Linked DNA regions of Cricetulus griseus. The protein of the gene in region 2 interacts with the protein of the main gene of each other region in a biochemical or structural test. Links are inferred from orthologs where the notes say so. Each region holds a gene or a part of one and is shown on either strand. Other genes may lie near its edges.

Region 1 (7,252 bases), about 150 Mb from region 2:
AATTGACATACAGATTGACTCTAATTGTTTGTATGTGATACGAATTCCAAAACTAATTCGTAAGACAATAACAACATTTACTACTTTAAGCACTAGGTGCCATATGGAAGTTATGTTTGGTCTCCACATTGGCTTATAAGCTATCCCTGGACAAAAGCATCAGAAATGGTCTGAGTTGATGCAATAAGTGGAGAGAAGGCAATAAATGGGAAAAAGTAAATGATCCTAGGATATCAAGTCAGAGAACCCACTGATCTTCACTTCCAAGGGCCAGCCATTAACACACTGCGTCATGGATCATATTCATCAGTACTTTGTTATTGCATTTAAATATTTCATTACTTTACTATAGAGCATATCTGGAAGAGGAGAGAGAATAAAAGGAAGCTTTTAGAAAGAACTACATAACTGAATTTTAGTAAGTTGAGGATCTGTCCAATTGTATCTGGGTTGTATCTGGTAAGAATGATCATCTGTCTACTCAAGCAGTTACCTTTCCATATATCCCTGATTTCAATTAAAGGAAAGAAAGAACATGGACAGAAGCTAACTTCTAATTAAGTCATTAGTGAACTATGTGGTGGGTGTTAATTATTCTCAGAGCAGGGCTCAGTGTGTCCTTCATCATGTGATCTGTCAGAATGAAAACAAAGCAAAGCCTGTCCCATACTTACTAGTTACATCCCATCCTTCTTATATGGCTATTAGCCCCCCAAAAAATAAACTAACTAGACCTTCAGAAATTGTGGGTTCTTAAGAACAAGTGTAAAATAAATAAATAACATCCCCGTTATAGTATCTTTCTTAGAAGGAAGTGAAGAAGTCAAGGAGACCCAGGAAGCATGCCCATGTGCAAGGACACCTGTCACTGTGTTTGCACGAAAAGGATGGCTCAGTGTAGTAGCAAACTTATCTTGACCTGGACAAAAAAGTAAAACTTGGGTGCTGGCTCACAGCTTGGAAATGTTGTATGGGACCCCAGAAGCAAAGAATGTGACCCACTCAATATATTTCTTCTTAAATTCACAGGTACTGACCAGAGTCACCAAGAATGCTCAGGGCACATGGGTTAGTAATCTGTACTTGCACATAGGGGTGTGTATGTGTATGTTTGCGTGTGTGTGTGTGTGTGTGTGTGTGTGTGTGTGTGTGTGTGTGTAAGCATGAGAGAGAGAGGGAGGAGAAGGTAGTTCTGTTTGCATGGAATCTTTCTAATGCAAATTTCCCAGTTGATTAATTAGATCAATTAATATTCAAATTAGAGTTCAGCTAATCCCAGGTTTACAGAGTCCCCTAGGCAAATGTTCTTATTGTTACCCAAAGGGTGACTCAGAGGATGACAGATTTTCTCCTTGTGAGTCAGTTGTAAATAAGGAGAAAGGTGTTTGCATTCACCCAAGAGACAGGCCTTTAATTTTCCTTTGCTTATGTTCAGTTCCCTCTGACTTTACTAGTGGGATTTAAGATTGATTCACTTCTTATTAATATACAATCTGGTTCAGAAGAGTTATTGGAGGCCTTATAAGGCTTTGAGATGCTTATGCTAGTTAGTTGCTGTCCTTTGGCCCACTTTCACCCTTGTTCATAAACACATAATACATACTTGGTCTTCCAAAAATGACCTTTCTATCCTAACCCAGCAACAAGTGGACCCTGATGCCTCCAAAATGTAAAAACTGAGGAATAATATTAAAATTAGAAAATGAAATCTTTTGTATCTACACTGTCAAAATACCAATAAGAAATTACTAAAAGTCACCTTAATTATCTGAAGCCACTGAATTATGAATTTTGACCCTTGAAGAAAAGCCAACTAACCAGGAATTCCAATTTTAATACTTAAAGTTTCCTGATCATTTAATTCTAGGCTCTCTGAGTTTAGCCAATGACTTCATAGAGATCTCCAACCCCAGCGGGTACAGATCCAACATTGAAACTGCACCAGCCAGAGCCAAGCAGACAAGAGCCCAAGCCTCTCCTCAAATCCCAGCTGCTCACTTTCCCTTGGCTAAGAAGAGGTACTGGGGGGGAAAAAGCCCTTTAATACAGATCTTCTGGTTATAGTTTGCATCAGACTTCAAGCAAGCAGACAAACATCAACAGCTCACAACCCAATTACTCATATTAATATACTGCAAACCACATGTGACGCATTGGAAAGGCAAACTGGGTTAGGCCAGGGTGAAGCTCTGCCCTTCTCAAGGGAAAGGAGCCTGTGATGTGCTTCACATCGCAACAGTGACCTCTAGTGCTCCCTCTTCACTGAATGCGTGCAGCTTCGGGATACCTTTGCCACAAAACTTCATTTACCTGAGTGGATGGGCTCTGGTCGCTTGTGGTCCTTGTTTGTTTGTTTATTTGCTACAATGTTTGTCGAAGTCTATCACCAAAGGACCCCCCAAGATTTTGACTGGGTGTAACCATGCACATTTTATTGACTTGTTTCCAGGCATCCAATTTAAAATTGGAAGGGAAACAGTGCAGCCCTTGAAAGAAGTTCTCTCCTTTGCAGAGTGGCAGATAAATTGTGACATTAAATGAAGTCCTGCAAATGGAAGCACAAATCACCATGGTCACGCAGCGTGAATGGACTTGGGCTTATGACCATGAGTTCTTCCCCCACTAGGACTCTTCAGTAAAGTCAAAGGAGGTTCTACAGGAAAGACAGCGACCAGTTTCTGTCTCCCAAACCTAACCCTGGCAATACAGCAGTGGAGTCCATTCCTGAACAGGCCTTGTAACACTTTCTTGTAATGTAAAGCAGATAAAGATGATCTTTAAAATCCAAGACAGAAAACAAAAGTTGTGTTTGCTGAGCTGTTTATCATGCATGATGGCAGATGGGAAAATACTTCCATTTAGAGAATTTAAGCCAAATATAAACTTTAGAAACTTTTCCTATCTCCAATTGCAAGCTGATGAAAGAGTTGGCCAATATATTTTGGGTGATATTTAAATGAAGCAGAGAGACTGTGACGAATGTTCCTTGAATCAATGAACTCAGTACCAAGACAATCAATTACAAACACATGAAGTTGAAAATTCAACCACAAGAGAACACTACTTAAGGTGGTGGCTGGGGTGGGAATCACCTTCATATTTCCCTTTAAGCCAGATGTAGGGCTGGGTGCCCATCCAGGAGTGCTCTTCCCAGGGAGGACAGGGCTCTTCAATGCTGAGCTGTGCTTCCTTCCACCAGTGCTGCCTGCCGGTGAAGTCTGCAGTATGTTTCAGTTATTAGTCTGCATCATTTTAGAGATGCAGCCAGCTACTGCTAAATCGCAAACTTCAGAAATCTTAGCTAATGCAGCAGAAAGAATATCAAGTCTGCGGGTTGTTTTCCTGCTAGCCAAATAATCCCAAGGAAATTCAATAACCTGAAGAGAGGTGCCTGGGCCGGTCTATGATTAAGATGCTAATGTAATGTTTTACTAGAAGTTGACTATTCTCAATGAATATTCAAGGAGAGTAAGATTCTGCTAGTAAAAAAAAAAAAAAATAGTCCAGATAACATTTTGCATATTCTGACAAGACCAGGAGGAACCCAGTCCTATTGCACAATTCTCCTGTGGTACTTCGCTTAGCCCCCCGCAGCAATTCCAGTTGAAAAGATTAATCATAATAACAACAGAATCAAAGTTTTGCGCGTAGCCCCCCTGCAAGTTTTAAATCATTTGCTGTGTACTTACACGAATTCCCGGCTTCCACTCTCTTCCAGGTGTGAGTAGACAACAGAAGTAACGTCTTGAGGACAGCACCAGTGACAGATCCCATATTCATAATTTTTTAGCTCCCCAAAAGATCTCAAGTGGCTCTCAGGGCGCGCTGGAGACAGGTTCTCCTCGGTCCTTCACCCAGCACTGAGTCTTCAGTATCTCTAGCTCTCTGGCTCTCTTTCCTCCCTCCCTCCTCTCACGCGCTACTGCTCTCTCCTCCTTTCCTCCTCCCTCCTCTGCTCTCTCTCTCTCTCTCTCTCTCTCTCTCTCTCTCTCTCTCTCTCTCTCTCTCTCTCTCTCTCTCTCTTTCTCTCTCTCTCCTCCCTCTCTCCCTCTCTCTCTCTCTCTCTCGCTCTCTCTCGCTCCTCCCCCCACCAAGCACTGGTTCCTCACTGAAAAGCAACCAGCATCTGTCCTAACAAGCTTACACACTACTGCCGCCGAGGCCACGCCCACTCCTCGCAGCGGTCCTAGAAATTGGCCTCAGCATCCTACCTCCTCTGAAAAGCACAGCACCAGCTAGCAGCTTTCTGAGCTCCGCAGCCGCTGCAGGTGATGGAAGCTGGACCTGGAGGCGCTGTCCGCTGCTCCCGGCCTCCTCGGGGCTTCCTCCCCTCCCCATATATTCTCAATAAGCCTTAACCCGTTTTGTGCCCTGCCAGCCTTATGGGGTGGGGGAAGTGGCCAGGCAGAGAAGCCTTCTGATTTTCCGCAGGTCGTGTATTTGGCAGTGCCAACCAACATACTGAGCTATTTCCTGATTGCCCGGGAGTGTATCCAGGTAAAATTGCATTATGTTTCAAAACAAAAGCATAAAATAAGACAGAAATAACAAAGCAAGCATTGGTGAATTGTAGCTAAAACTGTCCTCCGGGAAAATGCTTGCTGTTTTTTCTGTTTCTATAAAACTATCGCCTTGTGCTCTGGTGCCAAGGTTTTATTACGGAAATTCCTCACATGGGAACAGACATTCCTGCTTGGCAGATATTTAAAAATCATCTGATAATAGTCTGCAAGAAATTAACATTTCTTATTTTGGTTGGTGCTTCAGGAATACAAATCCACCAGTGGAGTGCTCTGGGTAGATTGAGTTTCATGAACACATTCTTCTGTGAGTAGGCAGCATTCCACAATCGTGTTCTTTAATAGTAATTCCCAGAGGGCCCCAAATGGAAAATGATGGAATACTGAAAAAAGGGAACCCTCTCCCATACATCCCATACACACACACACACACACACACACACACACACACACACACACTCAACTACTACAAAGAATACTCTTCCAGTGGCCACTCTATGGGTACTATTGCTTGTGCTGAATATTAAATCACTTAAATGATAAAGCTAAGGCCCCATACAGAGCAGCACATCGCACGGTGTCAGAGAGGGTAAATCATCTCTCAAAAAATAAATGTCAAGATGCCTTCCTGCTGATTAGCTAGGTGGTGTAAAGACAGGAATCCAGGAGCTATCAAGCAACATCTTGGTGTTTGGAACAGGGAGAAGCTCAAGCCTTTCCCATCGGCAGCCTTGCTGGGCTATGAAAAAGGAGTGATTTGGGAGAACCATCCATACACCAAGCCTAATTGTTTAGCTCTTGACTTCAAACAAAGCTGAATGGATAGTTTTGCTTTTCCTATTTTTCAGATGAAAAACCAAGAACAGAGAAGGGAGTGGTTTGCAGGGTCATTGAGTTAGGAAGTAAAGTGAAGAAAGCTGGGCTTGGGTTTTTGGCTCTGGCTCTACTGATCTCAGTCTAGGGCTTGCTGTCATCGAATCAGAGTTCACACCCCCCCCCCCAAGACTCCTGCAAAAACTCCAGTCCTTAAAAACAGTATCAGGGAAAAGAAAATCAGGGCCTGAGTGTTTTCTCTGTTCCTAGACCTAAATTCCTGGCTTTGGCTTTCAAGCCATAAAATGTCAAGAAAGACAGGTACATATTAACAATTTATATCAGTAATTATTGTGGGGGTGATTTAATTTACATGCTATCTTCCACTTATTATTTAATTAAATTATTAAAGTGATCATTTGAGGAAGATATCCTGTGCCTACAGAAGGAATAGATTAGCCCTTCTAGACCTCTGTGAGACTGCACTGTCTGGAAAAGTGAAGCTCGGTTGATAAGAGTATTTACCTAAAAGGCACAGGGTCCTGGGTTTGACTGCCAGCACACATAAACCAGTTGTGGTGGTGCATGCCTGTAATCCTTGCACTTGGAAGGTGGGTTAGGGGCATCAGAAAGTCAAGGTCATCCTCAGCTACAGCAAATCTGAAGCAAGCCTGGGCTAGGTGAGTCCCTGTCTCAGTGAGGGGGGAAAGAGGAAGGAAGGAGGCAGGGAGGGAGGGAAGGAGCAGCAAAGGTAGGAGCAAAGGAAGCAGGGAGCAAGGGAAGGAGGAAGGAAGGACAGAGTTGACATTCTGATCTATGGGCCTGTAAAACTGCTGCTTTGGCAGCAAAGTATTGGGCTTTCCAGAAGGAAATATTATCACCCTACTAAACTTGTCACTGTTTACATGAAAACAAATGAGGAAATTTGAAGATTAGTATTGAATCAACATGGAAAATAATTATATATATATGTGTGTGTGTGTGTGTGTGTGTGTGTGTGTGTGTGTGTGTGTAATGATTGAAGACAACCTGGACCTAGGTCCATACTCCAGAGGCTATGGCAGGGGTACTTCAAATTCGAGGCCTTCCCCAGGCGATAAACTTAGCAAGACCTTGTCTCAAAAACAAAAGGGGGATGGGGGGCCTGAATCAATGGCTCAGTGGTTAAGAGCACGTGCTGCTCTTGAAAAACATCTGGGTTCAGTTCCCAGCACCCACATGGCAGCTTACAACCATCTGTACATTCCTCCAGTTCCAGGAAATCTGAGGCCTCTGGTGAGCACTTCTGCTCTCATGTGGACAGTATGAACCCCATAGCTAAGCTGTGACACTGGTGAGTCCTTCTGCTCTCACGTGGACAGTATGAATCGCTTGGCTGAGCTGTGACTTGGCAGTTCCCAGGCAGCATGAATGCATGTTGTCAGAATCAATGCATTCCCAAGGCTCATGCTACACTGTGTTGTGGCCAGTGAGACATGATCCACTGGCAGCAGAAAGTGAGGACACCAAGACCTACTGACCTGTGCTTCATTTCTCTGACCCTACCAGAATAGCTGGAAAAGAAAATTAATGTGGTGGTACATGCCTAAGTCCCAGCCCTGTGAAGATAGAGGCAGGAAGATCAAAGTTTAAGCTCAACCTCATCTACATAGTGAATTCAATCTTCAATCTCGAAATTTTATGACCGAAACAGAAGGATCACTATGAGCTTGAGGCCAGTGCTGGGAAACAAAGTGAGTTTCAGATCAGCTTCTACTTCCGATTAAGACCTTTCCTTGGAGGGGAGGGAGGGGAGGGAGGGTATAGGAGAGTTTAATGTTAAAGTTTTTTATCAAAATAATATATACATATGTATATATAAAGCAGAAACATAACAATAATCAAAGGATATTCACATAAATCAAACTTTAGTGTAAAAG
Region 2 (7,330 bases):
AGGGACTCTTCCAACTCCCATACTCAACCTCTATCCTTTCAGCTAGCCTGAGAGGGCGTTTGATTAATAGTTGTTAAAAGTACAAGCAAATTCTATTAGCTACAGATAAAGTTATACAATCTCATCTGGAATCGTCTCGCTCATTTGAGAAAGCAAGCATCCGTATTTGGTGAGAAACGGTGTCCTTGCTTTTCCAGATAGGTGTACGTAGCAGCTATGAATACATAAACAGGTTTATATTACCATAACCTTATACGGGTCACAGAATTCAAATCATTAGATATCCACTGTCTAAATAAATTCTGAAATTTCAGATCTCAGAGACTATATTTAACTCACTAAAACAAATTAATTTATTCATGAATTCATGTGACAAAAATCTATCGAATACTTATGACGGGTGTGGTGTTAGCTAAGGTGCTATACTTGAGTTTTGAAAAATCAACTTTACACTTCACTGTAAAAGCCATATCTTGCTGTAATAGATAAGAACAATTTATCTTTAAAAAGAAAGCCTTATTTTTCTCCATTATCTCATTATAAGCTTTATTTATTTAACTCAAAGATCCTCAAGAGGAAGTTCTCATGGCAAAGCTTTCTAACAGAGTTTCAGATAAATTCAGGCAATGTTAAAAGTAAACATATTTTTCCATGGAGAATAAGGGACAGAAACCCCACTGAATTTAGCAATACTGAATGTTCACTATTACAAAAATTAAGTAGTTGCTAAAGTCTAATTGTGTGCGGCTCGTGGCTTCCTCTACAAACCCAAACACAGAGAGACACCTTCCTCTCGGGAAGCCATGGTCATTCACTCATGCCAATTTTCCACAACCCACGAGCTGTTGCCATTCTACTCCTGGTCCCAACCTGCCCTCCCTTTTCTTTCATCTTAGTCCCCTGTTTCCATCTCAGGAGCTGTTCTTCCACCTGGCGTGGGTCACCATTTTGAAGTCTTTATCAATGTAACCTCCTGCTAACACCGCAGATCAAATCTCTGAATTGATTTATAGCCCAGGCTTATGAAGTAGGTTTCCTTCCCTCTGCTGTGCCATTCCTGTGATGTATCACCCTCTCCTTCACTACCCAACTTATTAAAGGACAAGTCTGTTTGCACCACTTGCCACTCTCTTGATTTCTTCTTCCATGTAGCATAAACGCCCAATTTCCCCGTGGTATCATGGTTTATTCCTTTTGACCCCACAGATCAATTTTCAAATGTCTTTTACTTCCAAGTCTTCTGAAAAATAAAAGCCAAACTTTTAAAAAGAAGCTCATAATAGAAGAGAAAAGCATTAAAGCTACTTTAAGGTAAGAAAGGGCATCCACGCAAAACAAATGGCTGGCTGGCTGCAGCCTGCAGGGAAAGGTGCAGCCATTTACCAACCTGAATTACAGATTCAAGTTGAACCTTTAACCTCGCCAGGCCAAACGTTAGAAAAGCAGGGCATGGCATTTGAAAAATCATCTCATTTACATGAGAAAGGAAATCAGAAATTCTCAAGCCATCCTTTGTGCTGCCCTGCAATTCTTTCTCTAACCAGGTTAGTATTTACTTTGGTAAGTTCTAATATTTTTGAGCTCTAATATTTTGAGTTCTATTTACTAGAACTCTTCAAATACATACTGATTAGTAAGAATGATGTTCAAAGTGAACTTTAAACTCAGTTAGAAATGATTCCTGTTTTCAACTTTAAAACAATGAAACAATAAATACTATAAGAAATTTACATATATGGTTTTACTTGCAAATACAGAGATGGTAACTTTTTTTTTACTATAAAGAAACCAAAACCTCTTAACTGACTTTTACATCCATCAGAAAGAGATATATGACTGAAGCAATAAGAGAATAAAGAACTAAGATTCAAAATTCATTTTTATAAATACTCTTTTAAATCTTGGGTGAGATCCAACAACCTCACATTAAAATTTTAGAAGTCTTGACTTAAAGGACATGGGGCAATTTATTTTATATTGACAGCTTCCAGGGCACCTGGCCCATATATCATCATCAATTTTTTAAAAACGACAAATGAGAAGAAAAAATCATATGTGGATGGCCTTAGTTTTATTATTTTCAATGGATCAATAAAATAATGCAATCTTTGCCCAAAGAACAAAATTTTTAAAAATTTAAGAAAAAGAAGTAAATCTTTGGTCTCAATGTGTTGTACATTTATTTGTACAGACTTGATTATTACAGGCTTTTCAAAGAGGCTCAGGGCAGCCCATTTGGGTTCTGACAGAAATTCAATAGAATTTGAGGTATTATGACTAAAATGTGTCCCAAGCAGGTTAATCCACTCATACGATTTCAATAAAGTACTGAGCTATTAGCATAAAGGTGCATTTGCTCCTATGGATACTGCAGGAGAAATACAGACTCCAGGGAACCAGGCTGCAGTGGACACACATGAATATGCCATCATGATTCCTCTCTCTCCCCAACCCTATCTTTATTACGCAGAGGAATTTAAGCATCTATAGACTCTGGGTGCTTTTTGGTGTCCTGGTTCCTAGACATTACCGGAGAGCCGGACATTTGCCAAATTTCCTCCGAGTGCTGCACTGACCCGAGATCTTATCACCATGGGTCGCAAGAGATTTCAGTTCCTAAATGGACCTTCTAACCATTGTGAAAGCTGGGCGAGTGGATAGCAGAAATTAAGTATCCCAAGGAAAAAACCGTTTCCCAAGGAAAAACACCCAAGAGAACGTAAAACATTTCTCAGTATGGGCTTTTTCCTCGTTTTTATCTCCCTCTCAATCTCTTTCTTTTATTTTTAAAGCCCCACCCCCTTAAACACCTCCAGAGTTTATTCTAAAAGAAGCAACACAAAGACTACCATCCTTCAGCCAAAAGGGTTTCAGTATGCAAATGTGGAAGACTTGGCGATAAAAGTTGTAGGAAGGGGTCCATTAAACACCCTTCTCTTTGGGTTAGACAAGAGATAAACAATAGAAATTGCAGAGTCAGGCAGTCAGGGATCCGACGGAGGAGGGGCTGGAAAGTATCAGGAAAGCTCCCTTCAGAACCAGGGACACCGGCAGTCTCAAAAGGTATAACCATTATCCTGTTTTCCTGCCATGTGCCTCAAAGCAAAACGCTCACTTCCACATGCCCGTATTATGAGGTCAGGGAAAAGGGAAGCGAGAATCCCTACACCCAGCCACCCAAGACCAGAAACAGAACAGAAACTGTATGTACTTGACTTGCATGGTCGAAATAACCAACACTGTCCCACAGTGTTAGCTGGTGGCATCAAGTAAGGAAAAGCAGATCGCTGGATGTGGGGCGCAGTTTGGGGAGCGTGGATCCAATTGCACGCTACTCACTCTTACACAGGATTTTTACAAACCCGGCCTTACCCTACTGCTTCCCTCCACACTTCACACACCAAGTGCATCCTGCCCACCTCACGGTTTCCATCGTCAGTCAGCCAGAGAGGAGGGATCCTAGCGGGGATTCCTGGAAATGTCATCCCCCCTACACCTCGGATCCGCCACCTCCATCCCCACTGCCATCACACAGACGCAGACACACACACACACACACACACACACACACACACACACACACACACGCACGCACTGCCATGACTGTCATCAGGCCCGCTCTTCTCAAAGCCTGGTATCTCAGCGCGCACCGGACGCCTGGCATCTCTCTGGTACACACCCTTCCCCCGCCTCGCTGGCTCCAGGCTTTGCCCCCTGGATGTTGCCCGCAGTCCCTGTTCATCCTCACTATTGTTCCACGCAGCACTCCTCGCTCCCAGGATCGCCCTTCCGAGAGCAACCAGGCTCCGTCCGGGGCGTCGGGCGCCCCGCACTCACCCAGCCCTCCCTGGCCATGGTACCTTGCCTGACAGCTGGGTCCGCGGGCCCGCGGGAGCAGGCGGCGCTAGTGACAGCGACCGTGCCAAGCCTGGGAATAAAGCTGCTCTCTAGCCGCTCCCGCCTCCAGCGCCACCATCTTCCCCCGCCGCCACCGGGACCGCAGCCGCCCGCGCCCGGCTCCGGCTCTAGCTCGGCAGCGGCTCGGGCCCCCCGCGGCCCCACCCCCTGCTCGCCGCCCGCTCGCCTCGTGACGCGCGCCGGGGCCGGCCGGCTGCGACTGACGGCGGGGGGAGCGCGCGCACGCCGCGTGCAAGCGGCGCCCCTGCCTCCCACGCCCACCCGCGTGCTCGCGCGGCGCGGGCCCGACGCGGCGGCGCAGGAGTCCCGCTCCGGCGCGCGTGAGCGTGCCAAGTGTCCGCGCCCCTCGCCGTGGCCGCGCCTGCAATCAGAGCGCGAGTCCCTCCCTTTCGTGCCCGGGATCCTGGGGTGGACTACGTGGCTGCCTCCCGCGGGGACCCACGGGGACTTCCATCGTCCCCAACCCCAGGTCCCTAACGCTCATCCCGGGCCCGACCTTTGCATATGGGATCTGGCCACGCTTAGGACACGGAGCGGAGCAGCCGCGTGGACGGCTGCGCGTGTCCTCTTGTTAGTGACACCGGGCTTTCCCGCTTCCAGGGTCTGAAAGTCGGAAAAGGCTGGCAACGCGCCTCCGCTCTCCGCATGTGGCCGCCAGGGGGCGCCCGCGTGGGCTCGAGCGGAGCAAGCTGTCCGCCTGGTTGCCCACCGGGGGCGCTGCTCAGTCCCACTCCACCCTGGAAACGTCTGGAAGGCGGGGCCAGGGAAGGGTCCACTTGGCTTCTCCGTATCGGTTGCTAGGAGCTTCAAAGAGTCTTCCAGCCCGGCACGGGTGATCTGCTCGAAATAGGACTGGGATCTCTGGAGGGTGGGGACCCTTTCCATTAGGGACCAGGTGGCAGGTGCTGTGTCTTAATGAAAAGTTGGACTGCCCCCCCCGGGGGGTGGGGTGGGGTGGGGGTGGGTTCTGGCGCTAGCCCCACGTGTTCCCCTTCTTCCAGACAGAGTTCTCAATTTAAAAATTAAATCATATTTCCCCGAAACCTTTTAGTTTTCCAGTCTCTCTTCGTACACTTATTCTCGTCTAGCGAAATGAAAACAAAAAGCCTTGCTTATCCGACCTCAGGAGAGATGAGCCTATTCGTTGCATGGTGTTTCCATATTGAGCACAGTACCTCCAGAAATATCTGCGGGTGTAGCCTGAAGCATTGTAGAATTTCTGTTTAGCTTTAAAATTCGTATGAATTTTGCACTCTATTTCATAATGAATTTCTTTGCTTTGACAGAGATGACTATAGCTTCTCCTGTCCCCTAAATATAATAAAACATACAAGAAATATGTACCATTGTTGCTTGTCCTGTAACATTCATTACCTATTCATTTTGTCAGTATAGATACTCTCACGGGTGAGAGACAGATGGTGTCCTCCAGAACTCATAGCATCCTGGGGAAAATGTTACACAATCCAGAGCAACTGTGAGCTTTCCAACTGCGAAGGTGCTGGGGATGGGGGTGGGGTCTGATGTTGACTGGGCTGCCTGAGGAAAGGGCTATTCCAGGAGACCACTTAGAAGGAAGTAAAGGTGTGAGGACCCCTCTCGTGGGTCTGAGGCACAGCACGCCTCAAGCAGGCAGTAGTCACAGCTTTTACTTTTTGAGGCAAAAAGGGGCACTAGGGGTTGTTGAGAGTTGGATTGATCCAACAAGAACAAGCAGCATCACGTTTGTTTCTGTTCTTGAAAGGTATGTGAGGCAGCTCGGTGGAGAGAGAGCGCGGCTCAGAGGCGCAGAGTCTAGGGCAGGAAAACCGAGTCAGGACGAATCCCGAATCTCTTGCTATGCCTGTTTGGTGAACGCTTTCTGGGTTAGGTGTGTCTTCTAGCTGGCAGCTCTGTTAAGTTTTTGCCTTTGCTTTCATTTGCACCCCTTGGGGAGGGGGGCAATTTCAGAGTACATTTCTGTCATTGCTTCTGTTCCCTTATTGTAGGTTTACCATGCAAGCTTAACTTACTGGTTAAGTTTTGGTTAAATAGGAGAGAGTACAGATCCTTGGTGAGAAGCATATTTTGATGCTGTGGTAGTTAAATCTTCGTTATCCTGACAGCTCGAGAATCGCTTTAGATATCCCCTCTGACGAAATTTCTAGGTTGATTTGACTGAAAAGAGGGAAAACCCACCCTAAATGTGGGCAGCACCTTTACACAGACTGACTCTAGACTGGGTGGCTATAAAGGAGAAACTGAGTAGAGCCTAGCACTGTGCTCCTCACTCTGCCACTTACAATGGACTCAGTGTGGCCAGACACCACAGTATGCAGGCCCCCAAGCCTGCTCCACCCCGATGGAGGCTTCCTTCCTTTAGTTGCTGTTGTCTGGCATTTTGTCACAGCCGTTTCAAGAAAAGCAACTAATACAGCTGTATCAACTTGCTACCATTTGGTTTGCCAGCTCATTTCCCCCGTGTGTTGTGTGATATTCCCACCAAACTCTGAGTAGCAGAAACATTTGTTGCTTTCCTGATTCTTTCCAATCATTCTTAGATCACAGGGGTTTGGTTAAAGCAAATGTGTAAAGGCGCTTTGCTAGCATCACTATAATGGCAGCTATTTGTCAATGTTTATATATGGAAATCTTCCTTTCACAGGAACATAGATGTCCTTGGTCCTTCTGGATGGTGTATTTGTGCCTCATCTAGCAGGAAGCTCCAAACCACATTTGTAGTTCAGTGTAGGAAATGGAGGGGCCCATATGGCATTTATATTCACCCTTCCTTCGGTGTTAGTCTACCTGTAGATTCTCTGTATCTGCATTACTGGTATGTTTCTACCTTATTATTGATACTCTTCTAAGGACTTCAAATATTTATGTCCACCTTCTGTTAACAAAAGCCAAAACTGCTATTCCCTGCTTCAAAGGGCAGTATATAAAATGCTGGCAAACGGCCAGCCATTGTAGCAGGTAACAGTCTGTAGACAGGCTGCCAAGTGACTAGAGTCTAAGTTAAAGCCTTACCTGCTGCGGCTTGTGGGTCACAAGTCTGTGCATACCAGTTTAAAGCCTCATATTAAGAAGCCTCATATTATCTGTGACTCCTAGATAATGAGTCTCTCTAGGACCATTCCTGAGGTCCCCTTCTCCCCCAGCCCCAAGCCCACTCTTCTTACCCTCTGAGTATTGTTTACAACTCAAGAGGGAAGGTAGGGGTTCATGAACATTTCATTTATGTTTGTTGACAGTAGACACCTTGAGGTTATGAGATCCAATAACTTCATTGGAACCCCACAGGCATGTGAGCAGATCTTCTTGGGGTTTAATGTGGCTCTACACAGACCAAGCTGCACACCTCTTCTGACAGCAGGGGCTATTGCCACTTGATTTTGATGTTTTCAGGTGACTAGTGTCTTCCTGTCGT

Evidence for each region.
Region 1: the proteins of Apba1 (region 2) and Cntnap4 form a complex in vitro, tested with the Homo sapiens proteins (2 studies listed by BioGRID and IntAct, with this or other methods). The link is inferred for Cricetulus griseus from reciprocal best matches to the Homo sapiens genes APBA1 and CNTNAP4.

Annotation. Positions count from the first base shown.
Region 1 is NC_048596.1:189,013,734-189,020,985, reverse strand, and holds the start of Cntnap4 (contactin-associated protein-like 4), read right to left. Parts: upstream 3,781-7,252; coding exon 3,690-3,780; intron 1-3,689. UniProt on the Homo sapiens protein: Presynaptic protein involved in both dopaminergic synaptic transmission and GABAergic system, thereby participating in the structural maturation of inhibitory interneuron synapses.
Region 2 is NC_048596.1:37,521,652-37,528,981, forward strand, and holds the start of Apba1 (amyloid-beta A4 precursor protein-binding family A member 1), read right to left. Parts: upstream 4,547-7,330; 5' UTR 4,415-4,546; intron 4,053-4,414; exon of another isoform or gene 3,861-4,052; intron 1-3,860. UniProt on the Homo sapiens protein: Putative function in synaptic vesicle exocytosis by binding to Munc18-1, an essential component of the synaptic vesicle exocytotic machinery. May modulate processing of the amyloid-beta precursor protein (APP) and hence formation of APP-beta.